Linked DNA regions of Coturnix japonica. Each later gene encodes a partner of the first gene's protein in a complex. Links are inferred from orthologs where the notes say so. Each region holds a gene or a part of one and is shown in the gene's direction. Other genes may lie near its edges. The genes, in order: POLD2, POLD4 and REV3L.

What was found.
Region 2: POLD2 (region 1) and POLD4 share a complex: the UniProt entries of both Homo sapiens proteins name them as parts of the tetrameric DNA polymerase delta complex. The link is inferred for Coturnix japonica from reciprocal best matches to the Homo sapiens genes POLD2 and POLD4.
Region 3: POLD2 (region 1) and REV3L share a complex: the UniProt entries of both Homo sapiens proteins name them as parts of the tetrameric Pol-zeta complex. The link is inferred for Coturnix japonica from reciprocal best matches to the Homo sapiens genes POLD2 and REV3L.

The regions. Positions count from the first base shown.
Region 1 is NC_029537.1:62,716-66,876, reverse strand, and holds the start of POLD2 (DNA polymerase delta subunit 2), read left to right. Parts: upstream 1-1,287; 5' UTR 1,288-1,420; exon of another isoform or gene 1,421-1,432; intron 1,433-1,770; 5' UTR 1,771-1,777; coding exon 1,778-1,985; intron 1,986-2,679; coding exon 2,680-2,801; intron 2,802-2,951; coding exon 2,952-3,075; intron 3,076-3,148; coding exon 3,149-3,263; intron 3,264-3,376; coding exon 3,377-3,575; intron 3,576-3,659; coding exon 3,660-3,740; intron 3,741-3,810; coding exon 3,811-3,968; intron 3,969-4,061; coding exon 4,062-4,161. Other genes in the region: antimicrobial peptide NK-lysin, read right to left, coding at 1-159, 249-350, 463-569, 800-839. UniProt on the Homo sapiens protein: Accessory component of both the DNA polymerase delta complex and the DNA polymerase zeta complex.
Region 2 is NC_029520.1:154,566-157,532, reverse strand, and holds POLD4 (DNA polymerase delta subunit 4), read left to right. Parts: upstream 1-1,397; 5' UTR 1,398-1,596; coding exon 1,597-1,954; intron 1,955-2,034; coding exon 2,035-2,146; intron 2,147-2,216; coding exon 2,217-2,241; 3' UTR 2,242-2,332; downstream 2,333-2,967. Other genes in the region: glycine N-acyltransferase-like protein 3, read left to right, coding at 1-88, 234-354, 801-1,221; SSH3 (protein phosphatase Slingshot homolog 3), read right to left, coding at 2,790-2,957. UniProt on the Homo sapiens protein: As a component of the tetrameric DNA polymerase delta complex (Pol-delta4), plays a role in high fidelity genome replication and repair.
Region 3 is NC_029518.1:60,208,726-60,212,374, forward strand, and holds part of REV3L (DNA polymerase zeta catalytic subunit), read left to right. Parts: intron 1-694; coding exon 695-3,649. UniProt on the Homo sapiens protein: Catalytic subunit of the DNA polymerase zeta complex, an error-prone polymerase specialized in translesion DNA synthesis (TLS). Lacks an intrinsic 3'-5' exonuclease activity and thus has no proofreading function.

The DNA.
Region 1 (4,161 bases):
CTTGCACAGCCCCAGGGTGGTGCACACAGAGCGGGGATCGCTGTCGTCCTGCAGCGCGTCGCTGAGCTGCTGCCGGAGCTTCTTCCCCAGCTGCCTGCAGATCCCCTTCAGGATTCTCTTCGTACCGCAGACCTGGCCCAGTGCTGTGCCAATGGCCTCCTGTGGGTCCCGGCCCCAGGGTGTTAGTGGGGCTGCAGCCACTGGGCCCCCTGACCCTGCCAGGACCCCCCACTCACAGCCCCACTCACCTCATCGGGGTCGTCACCAACGATCTTCTGCAGCTTCTTCACCAGTTTGACGCAGGCGCTGCATTTCATCTTGCCTGGTCCCATTGCGTCCCCTTCATCCCACTGTGGGCACAGCACAGACCCTCAGAGCGCTGCCACCCACCCTCCCGCCCCACGCTCCAACCCTACACGGGGCTGCCCCACAACGTGCCCCACAACCAGGGCGCATCCTCACCACGGCCGAGCCGTCCTGCAGCAGCTGCCATTGCTGCTCCCAGGGGCTCCCAGCAGCCACGTCCCGTTGGTCATCGTGGGGCGGCTCAGTCACCACCACCTGCAACACTGGAGATGGAAGGGGTCACCACGCTGCCCCATAGCAACCTCCGGCCCCATTGAACACCCCCATCCCCCCTGACCCCACGTCCCCATATCCACCCCCTCCATGTCCCCATATCCACCCCCTCTATATCCCCATATCCACCTCCATGTCCTTATATCCACCACCTCCATGTCCCCCCCTGACCCCACAGCCCCCCGTTCCCATCCCATGTCCCCCCATATCCGCCCCATACCGGCCCCCATTGCCATCATGACGATGATCGCAGCCGCCATGTCGCCCCGTAGCGCAGCTCAGCGCGTCCCACCCGCCTTTATAACCCCGCGGTGGGGCCGAAGGAGCCACTCAGCGTGAAGGAAACACAACGAGGCCTTAAAATGGGCACGGACCGAGCGCTTCGCCCCACACCCCCGCCCCACATCTCACACCGCCCCACAGCTCACACATCTCACACATCTCACACCTCCGCCCCGCTCGTCACGGCGGTGTCACTGTGTCGTTGTGTCACTGTGTCGTTGTGTCACTGTGTCACTGTGTCGTTGTGTCACTGTGTCGTTGTGTCACTGTGGGCACGGCGGCTCCATGTCCCTGCTCGGCCCGTGACGCCATGTTGGTTTGTTTGTTGCCCGCAGGTCACGTGGTCCCGCCGCTCACCCCGCGGGCCGTGGGACCCAGGACCAGGCCTCACCGTCACCATGGCAACAGCGGTCAGCATGGCGCCGCCGCTCTGACGTCACTTCCGCCGCGCGGGTTCGCCGCTTCCGCTGCCCGTGTTGGCGCCACTCGGTGCCCCCCCCGGTGCGACACGGGCCGTGTGCAGACGGCCGTCACCACGTGACCTCTGACCTCTGACCCCGTACGGCACCGTGTGGGAACCGGATGTGGGGGGGGTCCGGTACCGGGGGTGATTTATGGGGGTCCGGTACCGGGGGCTGAGGGGGGAGTTTGGGTAACGGGGGCAGTTGGGAGGGTCACGTGGTCACAGTGCGGGTAACGGGGGCAACCGGGGGGGGAGGGGTCGTGAGAGGGGACCGGGGGGTCACGTGTCACCGGTGGGGGGGGGATTCGGTACCGGTGGTCACGTGGGATGTTACTCGGTACCGGCGGTCACGTGGGGTGTTACTCGGTACCGGTGGTCACGTGGGGTGTTACTCGGTGTGGTTCCGGGTCCCATCCCGGTGTCCCTGACCCCCCGTTCCCCCCCAGCCCCGCCATGTTCCCGCCGGTCCCGGTTCAGTCCCTTCTGTCCGCTCCGTCCGCCGCCCCCGCCCCGTTCCCCCGCTCGCTCAGCTCCGTGTCGGACCGTTCCGCTCCGTTCCGCCTGGGGGAGCGCAGCTTCGCCCGACAATACGCGCATCTGTACAGCACGAGGCTGCTGGGAATGAGGCCCCGCCTGGAGCGGCGGGCACGGAGCCGATGGGGTGAGACCCCCGAGACCCCCACCCCCGTTATCGCCCCGTTATCGCCCCGTTATCGCCCCGTTACCTCCCCCCGGTGCACCCCCCATCCCGTCCCATCCCCCCACTGTCCCACCGCACGTTTCTGGGCTCTGCTTCTCATTTGGGAACACTGACCCCCCCCAATGCACACAGTGGGGCTGCAGCTGGATGGAGCTCCGGGTTCAGCTGATTCCTGCCCCCAGGCAGCCACATACCCCCATACCCACATACCCCCGTACCCACGTACCCACGTACCCACATACCCATATACCCCCATACCCACATACCCCCATACCCACATACCCCCATACCCCCATACCCCCATACCCACATACCCCCATACCCCCATACCCCCATACCCACATACTCCCATTCCTAACGTTGCTGTTGCTGTTCCCAGCCCCCATCACCCCCCTCATCCCACCCCGTCCCCCCGTCCCCTCTGTCCCCCCGTCCCCTCTCACTCATCCTCGTCCTTCCCACCCCAAACCCCAGCATGGTGACACACCCCGGGGTCGCCCTTACACCCTTCCATGGCCGCTTTCCCAGCACTGTGGGATGGGGGGTTTGCTCTGGAGGCCTGGAAGCTCCATGGGGGTGTTTTATGGAGCAGCCTCAGCACGGTGCCAGGGGCAGCGATGTGTCATGGTTTTGTTTGAACCTCCCGGCCCCGCAGGTGACAATGTGCTGCTGCGGAAGCTGTGTGAGCTGCAGACAGGGGAGCGGTGCTGCGTGGTGGGGACGCTGTTCAAGGCCATGCGGCTGCAGCCCTCCATCCTGCAGGAGATCAATGAGGAGGTAGGGCTGAGCACCCCCCCCTCCCCACCGCTTCCTCCTTGGCTGCCGTGCTGGCTGCGCACTAAGTGAAAGCAGCTGGAGAGCAGCCCCAGCACAGGCCGTGAGCCTCACTGAACCGGGGGTCTCGCTCTCGTCCTCCCCACCCTCCAGCACAACCTGGTGCCGCAGCCCCCCCTGGCCAAGTACGTGGACCCGTCGGACGAGCTGGTGCTGGAGGACGAGCTGCAGCGCATCAAGCTGACGGGGAACATCGAGGCATCGAGGCTGGTGACAGGTAGGGGACGGCGGTGGGGCGGTGGTGGCCCAGATGGTGATGGTGAGGCTGAGTGTCCCCCCACCCGCTGCAGGCACCGTGCTGGCTGTGTACGGCCACGAGCAGGAGGATGGGAAGTTCCTGGTGGAGGAGCATTGCTTTGCCCACCTGCCCCCACAGCTGCCGTGGTGCGGTCCCAGCACCGATAGGTGAGTTCCTGTCGTGTCCCCATTGTGTCTCCACGTGGCCCTGGGAGCCATTCATCCCATCCATCCTGAGGGACACGATGGGGGCTGCAGTCCTCTGCCTGCCCCCCGCCCAGGTTTGTGCTGCTGGCGTCGGGGCTGGGGCTGGGCAGCGGCAGCGGCGAGTCCCTGCTGGGCACACAGCTGCTGGTGGATGCGGTGACGGGGCAGCTGGGTGCTGAGGGCCAGCAGAGCTGCGCTGCTCTCATCTCCCGTGTCCTGCTGGCCGGGAACCTTCTGAGCCAGAGCACACAGAGCCGGGACAGCCTGCACAAGGTATGGGGAGAGTGGGGGGGGCCGGTAGGTGGGAGGGAGGGATGGAGAGAGATCGTGCTCCTCACCGCATCCTCACTGCCGCAGGCCAAGTATTTGACCAAGAAAACACAGGCTGCCAGCGTGGAGGCGGTGAAGATGCTGGATGAGATCCTGCTGCAGTTCTGCGTGAGTGCCTGGGCTGGCAGAGCGGCCCCCGCAGCCCCGCAGGCCCCCAACAGCCTCACTCTGCCTGCAGAGCTCCGTGCCTGTGGACGTGATGCCCGGAGAGTTTGACCCCACCAACTACACGCTGCCGCAGCAGCCTCTGCACCGCTGCATGCTGCCCCTCTCCAGCGCCTACCCCACGCTGCAGCTCGTCACCAACCCCTACCAGGCTGACATAGATGGCGTCCGGTGAGGCACAGTGTCACCGAGGCTGGGATGCCGCTGGTGGTGTGGGGTTGTGCTGCAGGTTGCACTGAATACAGATCCACCCTCAAAATACAGGTTTTTGGGGACGTCAGGGCAAAACATCAGCGATATCTTCAAGTACAGCAGCCTGGACGACTACCTGGAGATCCTGGAGTGGACGCTGCTGGCGGGACAC
Region 2 (2,967 bases), on another chromosome or scaffold:
AGCGCCTTCTACTGGGACCTGGGCGCCTACCGGGCCCTGCTGGAGAGCCCGGGCTGCCTGCGCTGGGACTCCGCGTTCCACATCTTCGGTGGCTGTGGGGACAACCGCAGGGACACGGGAGGAACGAGGGGGGACGGGGGCGGGAGGTTGTATCAGGAACGGGTGGTGCTGGGAGCGTGTGGGGCACGGTGGGGGAACATGGGGGAGCAGAACCCTGCTGCTGCCACCCCCAGGGCTGCAGGATGGCGTGCTGACCGTGTCCCAGGACATCGCTTTGGCCAAGGGCGTGGAGCTGGAGGTGACCGAGTACTACACGTACCTGCACCCCGACCCCAGCACTCTACCGGAGCCACAGTGAGCCTCAGCCCCATCTCCCCCTGTGTCCCATCCCAGTCCCTGTCTGCTTGTGTTTCCTTGTTTCCATTCCGGTTCCTATCCTGTACCTCATCCCATTCCTGTCCACAGCCCTCTCCCCAACTCAGTCTTGCCCCATTCCGTACACATCCCCAAACTTATCCAGCACCCATCCAAGCCCCGTGTCCATCTCATACACATCCGTGGCCACATCTGTTCTAATGCTAATCCTAAATGTAACTAGTGCTCACTCTAACCCATCCCATTTGTGTCCCCAGCCCCATCCCATCCCCAGCCACGGTCAGGTCCCAGTCCCATCCCAATCCATGTCCCCATCCCAATCTTAACCTTAACTGTAACCATAACCTTACCCCTAACGTGGACACTAACTGTAACCATAACCTTAACCCCCCCCATCCCCGTTTTCCTGTCCCTCCCCGGTGCAGGCTGGACCCCGACATGCAGCTGGGCACACTGAACCCGGCACACGTGGAGTTGCTGGACTCGACGTGGCCGTACGGGGGAAACGAGTGGAGCCGGCGCTACCTGGGGGAGCTGCTGCTCCGGTTCCCGTACCTGTGCCTGCAGGACCTGGCCGGGGATCTGCTGTGCTGGGTGCTGAGCGACGGCTTCGCAGCGGGAGCGCACGGTTACACGGTGCCGGCCCAGCGGCGCCGCGGGTTGATGCGGGCGCTGACGATCATGGCCGCCCGGCGGTCGCACGGCCGCGGCTTCCCGGTGTACGGTCACACGGCCACGGGGAACCGGGGCATGCAGCGGCTGCAGGAGGAGCTGGGGCACCGGCGGCTGCCGGGGCTGTGCCGCTTCGTGCTGCACAACCCTGCACTGGCGCGGGCTGCGCCCTGAGCGCACCGGGGAGAAACGTGTCAATAAAAGCAAACGAAGCGAAAATGAACCCGCTGCGAAGTGAAAAGGGAACGAGAGAGAAACGGCAACGAGCCGAGAAGGGCCGAGAGAAAAATAAACAAGGGACCAACCGTGAGCAACGTGAACAGCCGAACCTTTCCGGCTGCAAAAAGCGAAGCGCCAATAAACGACCCGACCCAACAAACCGAGACGGAACGTCCCGACAGCACATAAAGATACAACAACACTAAAAAAGATTAAAGAAAAACGGCCTCCAAAGCAAATACAGCCGAACCGAAACCGAAACCGGACCCGAACCGCCCCGCCTGCTGCCCGCCGGACCACAGCGGCGTCTGGCGGTGCTGCCAGAGCGGGATGAGCCGGGGGACGGGGAACGGCGGGCGGCGAACGCGGGGCCGGACGGAGCCGAGCGGGGCTGGAACCGCCGCCGCCCCGCAGGGAATGGAGCGCACCGGGCGCATCACCGACAGCTTTCCGCGGCGGCACCGCGCGGCGACACGCGCCGACGGCAAAGAGCGGAGCGGAGCGCGGCGGGGGCGCGGCGGAAAGGGGCGGCACCGGGGGGTCCCGCCGGCATCGCCCCCGCCGGATTCCCCACGCCCCGCAACGGAGGACGCCCGGGACCCCCCCCCAGCGCCCGGTACCGCCTCGCGGGAGCTGCTGGAGATGCTGCGGCAATTCGACTTGGCCTGGGAGTACGGGCCTTGCACCGGTGAGACCCCGGCGCCGCGCACCGAACCCCGACCCCCGGCCCGACCCTCCCCGCCGCTCACGGCTGCCCGTTCCCCGCAGGCATCACCCGGCTGCAGCGCTGGGAGCGGGCGCGGGCGCTGGGGCTCAGCCCGCCCGCCGCCATCCGCGACGCCCTCCTGGAGCACCGGCACGACCCCGCCGTCACGTACAGGTGCGGGGCGAGGGTGGGGGCGGCCGGGGCGGCGGGCTGACCGTGCACTGACCGTGCGCTGTGCCCGCAGCCTATGGCACGAGTACGGCCTGTGAGCGGACGGCAGGACGGGCGGCTCCGGGACGGCACCGCGGTACCGGCACGCAGCGCCGCTCTGTGAATAAAGCGGTGAGTGCGTTAACTGCGTTAACTGCGCTAAGTGCGGGCCGGGGCCGGCGCCTGGTTCTCACGGCAACCGGGAAGGCGCCCGCCCGCATCGCTCGTAAGATGGCGCGGCGGCGCCGAGACTACACTTCCCGTCGTGCCCCGCGAGCACGGGAGAACGGGGCGGAACCGGCGGCGGCGCGCACGGCCCGCTGGGGATTGTAGTTTGCGGCGGCTCCGCGGAGCTGGGCCGCCTGTCCCGGCACACACGGCTCCGCACACGGCCCACGTCCGTCCGCAAGGTTTATTGTGCCCGGCGGTGCCGGTGGTGGCGGCTTAAGGTGACAAAGTGCGTACGGAGCGGCGTGGCTTCCCCAGGCCCCGCCCCCCCGCAGGTCCACACGCTGCTCGCAGCGCTGCCCGGGTGGGGGCTGTGCCCGGTGCCCCCGCTGTGTGCTACGGGACAACGGGGGGGCTGTGCCCGCTGACCCGCTGCGCGCTACGGGCCGTTGTCCTCCGCAGGGTCGCGGTCTCCATCTACGCTGGCCTGTCGCACCACGCGGCACGGCCGGGACCTGGGCCGTGCTCCTGGGGGGGCCGCCTCCACGCTCGCCCCGTCCCCCGCCCCCCGGTCGCCTTTGGACACCTGTGGGATCCGGGGCTCCAGCTGCGCCTAA
Region 3 (3,649 bases), on another chromosome or scaffold:
CAGTAAATGTAGTGAAAGTAACAATGGAAGAGAGAAATAGTCCTATTTATCACACCATGAGTCTTCACTGCACAAGTACCTCAGCGTGTGCTGGTTGTAGAACTTTGTGGAAATAGTAATCATGGGTATGAATTCATGATCTAACTAAATGGAGCAAGCTCCTCATATACACACCTGAATGGGTGTTGGACTGCTCTGCTTTAAAAGTACAGCAAACTGTCTTACACTTATTGCACAGGATGGTTGATACAAAGCCCTTGCTGTTGTAAGATCATACTTTGCCTGTATGTTATTTTCCTTTTCAGAAGCAGGAAGCATGCATGCTTCTCAGGGACAAAGCAGGATACAAGCTTTTTTAAAAGTTAATGTCTTTGTATTTAGCTTTCTGAAAATGATTTCTGAAGTTTTCTCTAAGCAAATCATTGAGAAATCTATGGGAAATGTATTCAAGTCCTTAATTTATAAGTAACTGACAGAATATCTTAAGACACAAATGTATTAATGATGTAATTTTGATAAAGTAACTCATGTACTTGGAGCCTGTAGTTGTCATGATCATAATTGGAATGTGAGTTAGAAGAGTACTGTTCTGGTATGGGGGGGCTATTGTGAAAATATCATTAAAATAATTAATAGCTTAGTTATTCTTTTTTTACAGGAAAACTAGAGTAAAATTGCTTGTCTTCCATTTCAGACAATCCTTTGAATAATGAAAGTTCTCGAACTCACTCCTCCGTCATTGCAACAAGCAAAATGTCTGTAAAGACCTCAATCTTTCACAAAGATGCTGCTACGCTAGAACCCCCGTCTTCTGCTAAAATTACTTTTCAGTGTAAACACACAAGTGCCCTTTCTAACCACGTTTTGAATAACGAAGATTTAGTAGAAGACCTCTCGCAACCAAACACAGAAACAAGACCTGAACTTTCAGTTCATTCTCTTACAAAAGAAAGCACTTACACAGCAAAGTACCCAACATCATTCAGCAATAGTACCCATGCAGAAAATTCACATAAAGAGAGTAACAAGAAAGATACTCTCCCAGTTCCTTCATGTGAAAATAATATTTTTGAGTATGAAGATGATATTTCATCAGTCAGCAGACAGATACCTAGCAGGAAGTATACTAGCATCAGAAAGACTGAGAAGGATGTCTCTTTTATGCACGTGGGCCGCCACATTGGTGACAGCATATTGAATAAAAATTCTTTTAACTTTTCTGATTTGAGCCACTCTGGCCACTCCAAAGGTAAAATATCCTCTGAACTAAATGAAAAAGCCAGCAGCGCAAGTATAAATAGTTTTTTTCCAGCAACAGTTACAGAAAATTGTGAATTGGTGTCCTGTTCAGGAGGCAGCCGAACTGTTGTTCATTCACTTGAAAACAACACTGATGAAGGTGGCCTTAATAAGCTTAAAATTAGGTATGAAGAATTTCAGGAGCATAAAGCAGAAAAGCCAAGTCTCAGTCAACAAGCAGCACATTATATGTTCTTTCCTAGTGTTGTTCTTTCAAACTGTCTTAGCCGACCACAAAAGTTAGCTCCTGTGACGTATAAATTACACCAAGGCAACAAACAGTCCAGGTTGAAGCTGAATAAAAAGAAATATAGTTTTATCAATCATCAGGAGCCCGCAACTGTGAGTGATGTTGTATCAGTGAAGGAAAGCTGCTATACACAAGGTAATGCTTGTAGTAATATTCCTGATAAGGATAGTGCTTTACCTAGCGACTTAGTCCAAGTTCCTCTTGAGGCTTTTGAAAACAAAATGCCTACAAGTACTGCTCATTGTACTGACTGCCAGATGGGAGATGGATCTCTTGAAACTGAGCAGTCGTTTGGATTATGTGGAAATAAATACACACTCCGAACTAAACGAAAGGTAAATTATGAGACTGAAGACAGTGAATCAAGCTTTGTCGCACACAACTCAAAAATTAATCTACCTCAACCAATAGATAGTGTTGAAAGTTTGGATGGGTCTCAGAAGTCTCGAAAACGTAGAAGACTTTCTAAAAAACTGCCACCTGTTATTATTAAATATATTATCATCAATAGATTTAGAGGGAGAAAAAATATGCTTGTTAAACTAGGGAAAGTAGATTCTACTGAGGAAAGAGTGGTACTCACAGAAGAAAAGATGAATTTATATAGAAAGCTTGCACCTTTAAAAGACTTTTGGCCAAAAGTTCCTGACTCTCCTGCAACCAAATATCCTATTTATCCACTAACACCAAAGAAAAGTCACAAAAGAAAAGCGAAACATAAGTCAACCAAGAAAAAAGCTGGAAAACTGCAAAGAACAGGTAGTAAAAATAATATTAAAAGAACTTTATCTTTCAGGAAAAGGACTCACACAATTCTTTCTCCTCCTTCACCATCCTATAATGCTGAAGCTGAAGACTGTGACTATAACTATAGTGATGTTATGTCTAAATTAGGTTTTCTTTCTGAGAGAAGCACAAGCCCAGTAAACACATCGCCACCTCGCTGCTGGTCTCCCACTGATCCAAAAGCAGAAGAAATTTTGACCAACCTGGACAGAGAAGCTTTACATAGTAGGGGTAGTATGTACAACAACAGGACTGTTAATTCTAATGTAGGAAAAAATAGTCGAGCAAAAACTCAGGTTAAGAAATGTAAAAAGAAATTTGCTAGCCCCACTGTATCTACAAAGAAAAAGAAAAAGATGAATCAGAGTGATAAAACAGCAGATGATGGAAAGAAGAAGCCTAGAACGAAACAAAGACAGAAAACAACAGAAAAAATGTCCTCAAGAAAACGCATGGTTTTTAAAGATGAAAAAGGAAATAATCATTCAACCACAGAAGTGAAGTTTGTGCTGAAACATCAAGATCTGCCTGAGATGTCTTACAACTCGCAGCCGCTTCATCATCGGAGAGATGGTCCTCTTCCTGGCTTTACAGCAGGGTATCTGCCATCAGCACCATTTCCCTCAGCAGCTGATACACAAGGTAATTCATCAGACTGTTTTCATTCATTGATGGAAGTTGATAAGCCTTTAGATGCACAGTGTTTGCCTGCTCCACGAGAAGACCCTCATTCATCTCTCACATCAACTTCTGTGGCATCCGGAAGAGAAGTACTGAAAGTGAGCTCTCAAAGGCCCAGGACTCAAAGTGCTGTATTTAGAATGAAGGAATCTGCTCTTGTTAAAAACATATTTGACTCATCTAATCACTCAACTCAGGTAACACAGAATGTGTGCATCTCTAAAGATAAGACCCTTGTAAAAGCAGAAGAGATAAAAAATTTGCAACACAGGTATTTACCATCAGCTGGGAAATTAAGTGAAGCTCGTGAGTCTTCAGACTCAATGAAGGTGGATCAGTTGCATTCCACTAGCTATTTGCATTGTAAAGACAATAATCAGCAGCAGATTTTTTGTATACCAGAGGCATCCAAGCATTCTGATCCTTCTAATTCTGTTCCTAAGTCATCTGAGGAAAGTCCGGGGCCTCTTCAGTTGCCTAAGAACTGTTTTGTAACCTCTTTGAAGAGTCCAGTGAAACAACTAAATTGGGATCAAAAACAGAGAGGATTTATTTTGGAAATGTCGCATTTTAAACCTGAAACTGTAAAACAGAAGTCTCTGCCAGAAACAACGACACAACCAAAACCCATTT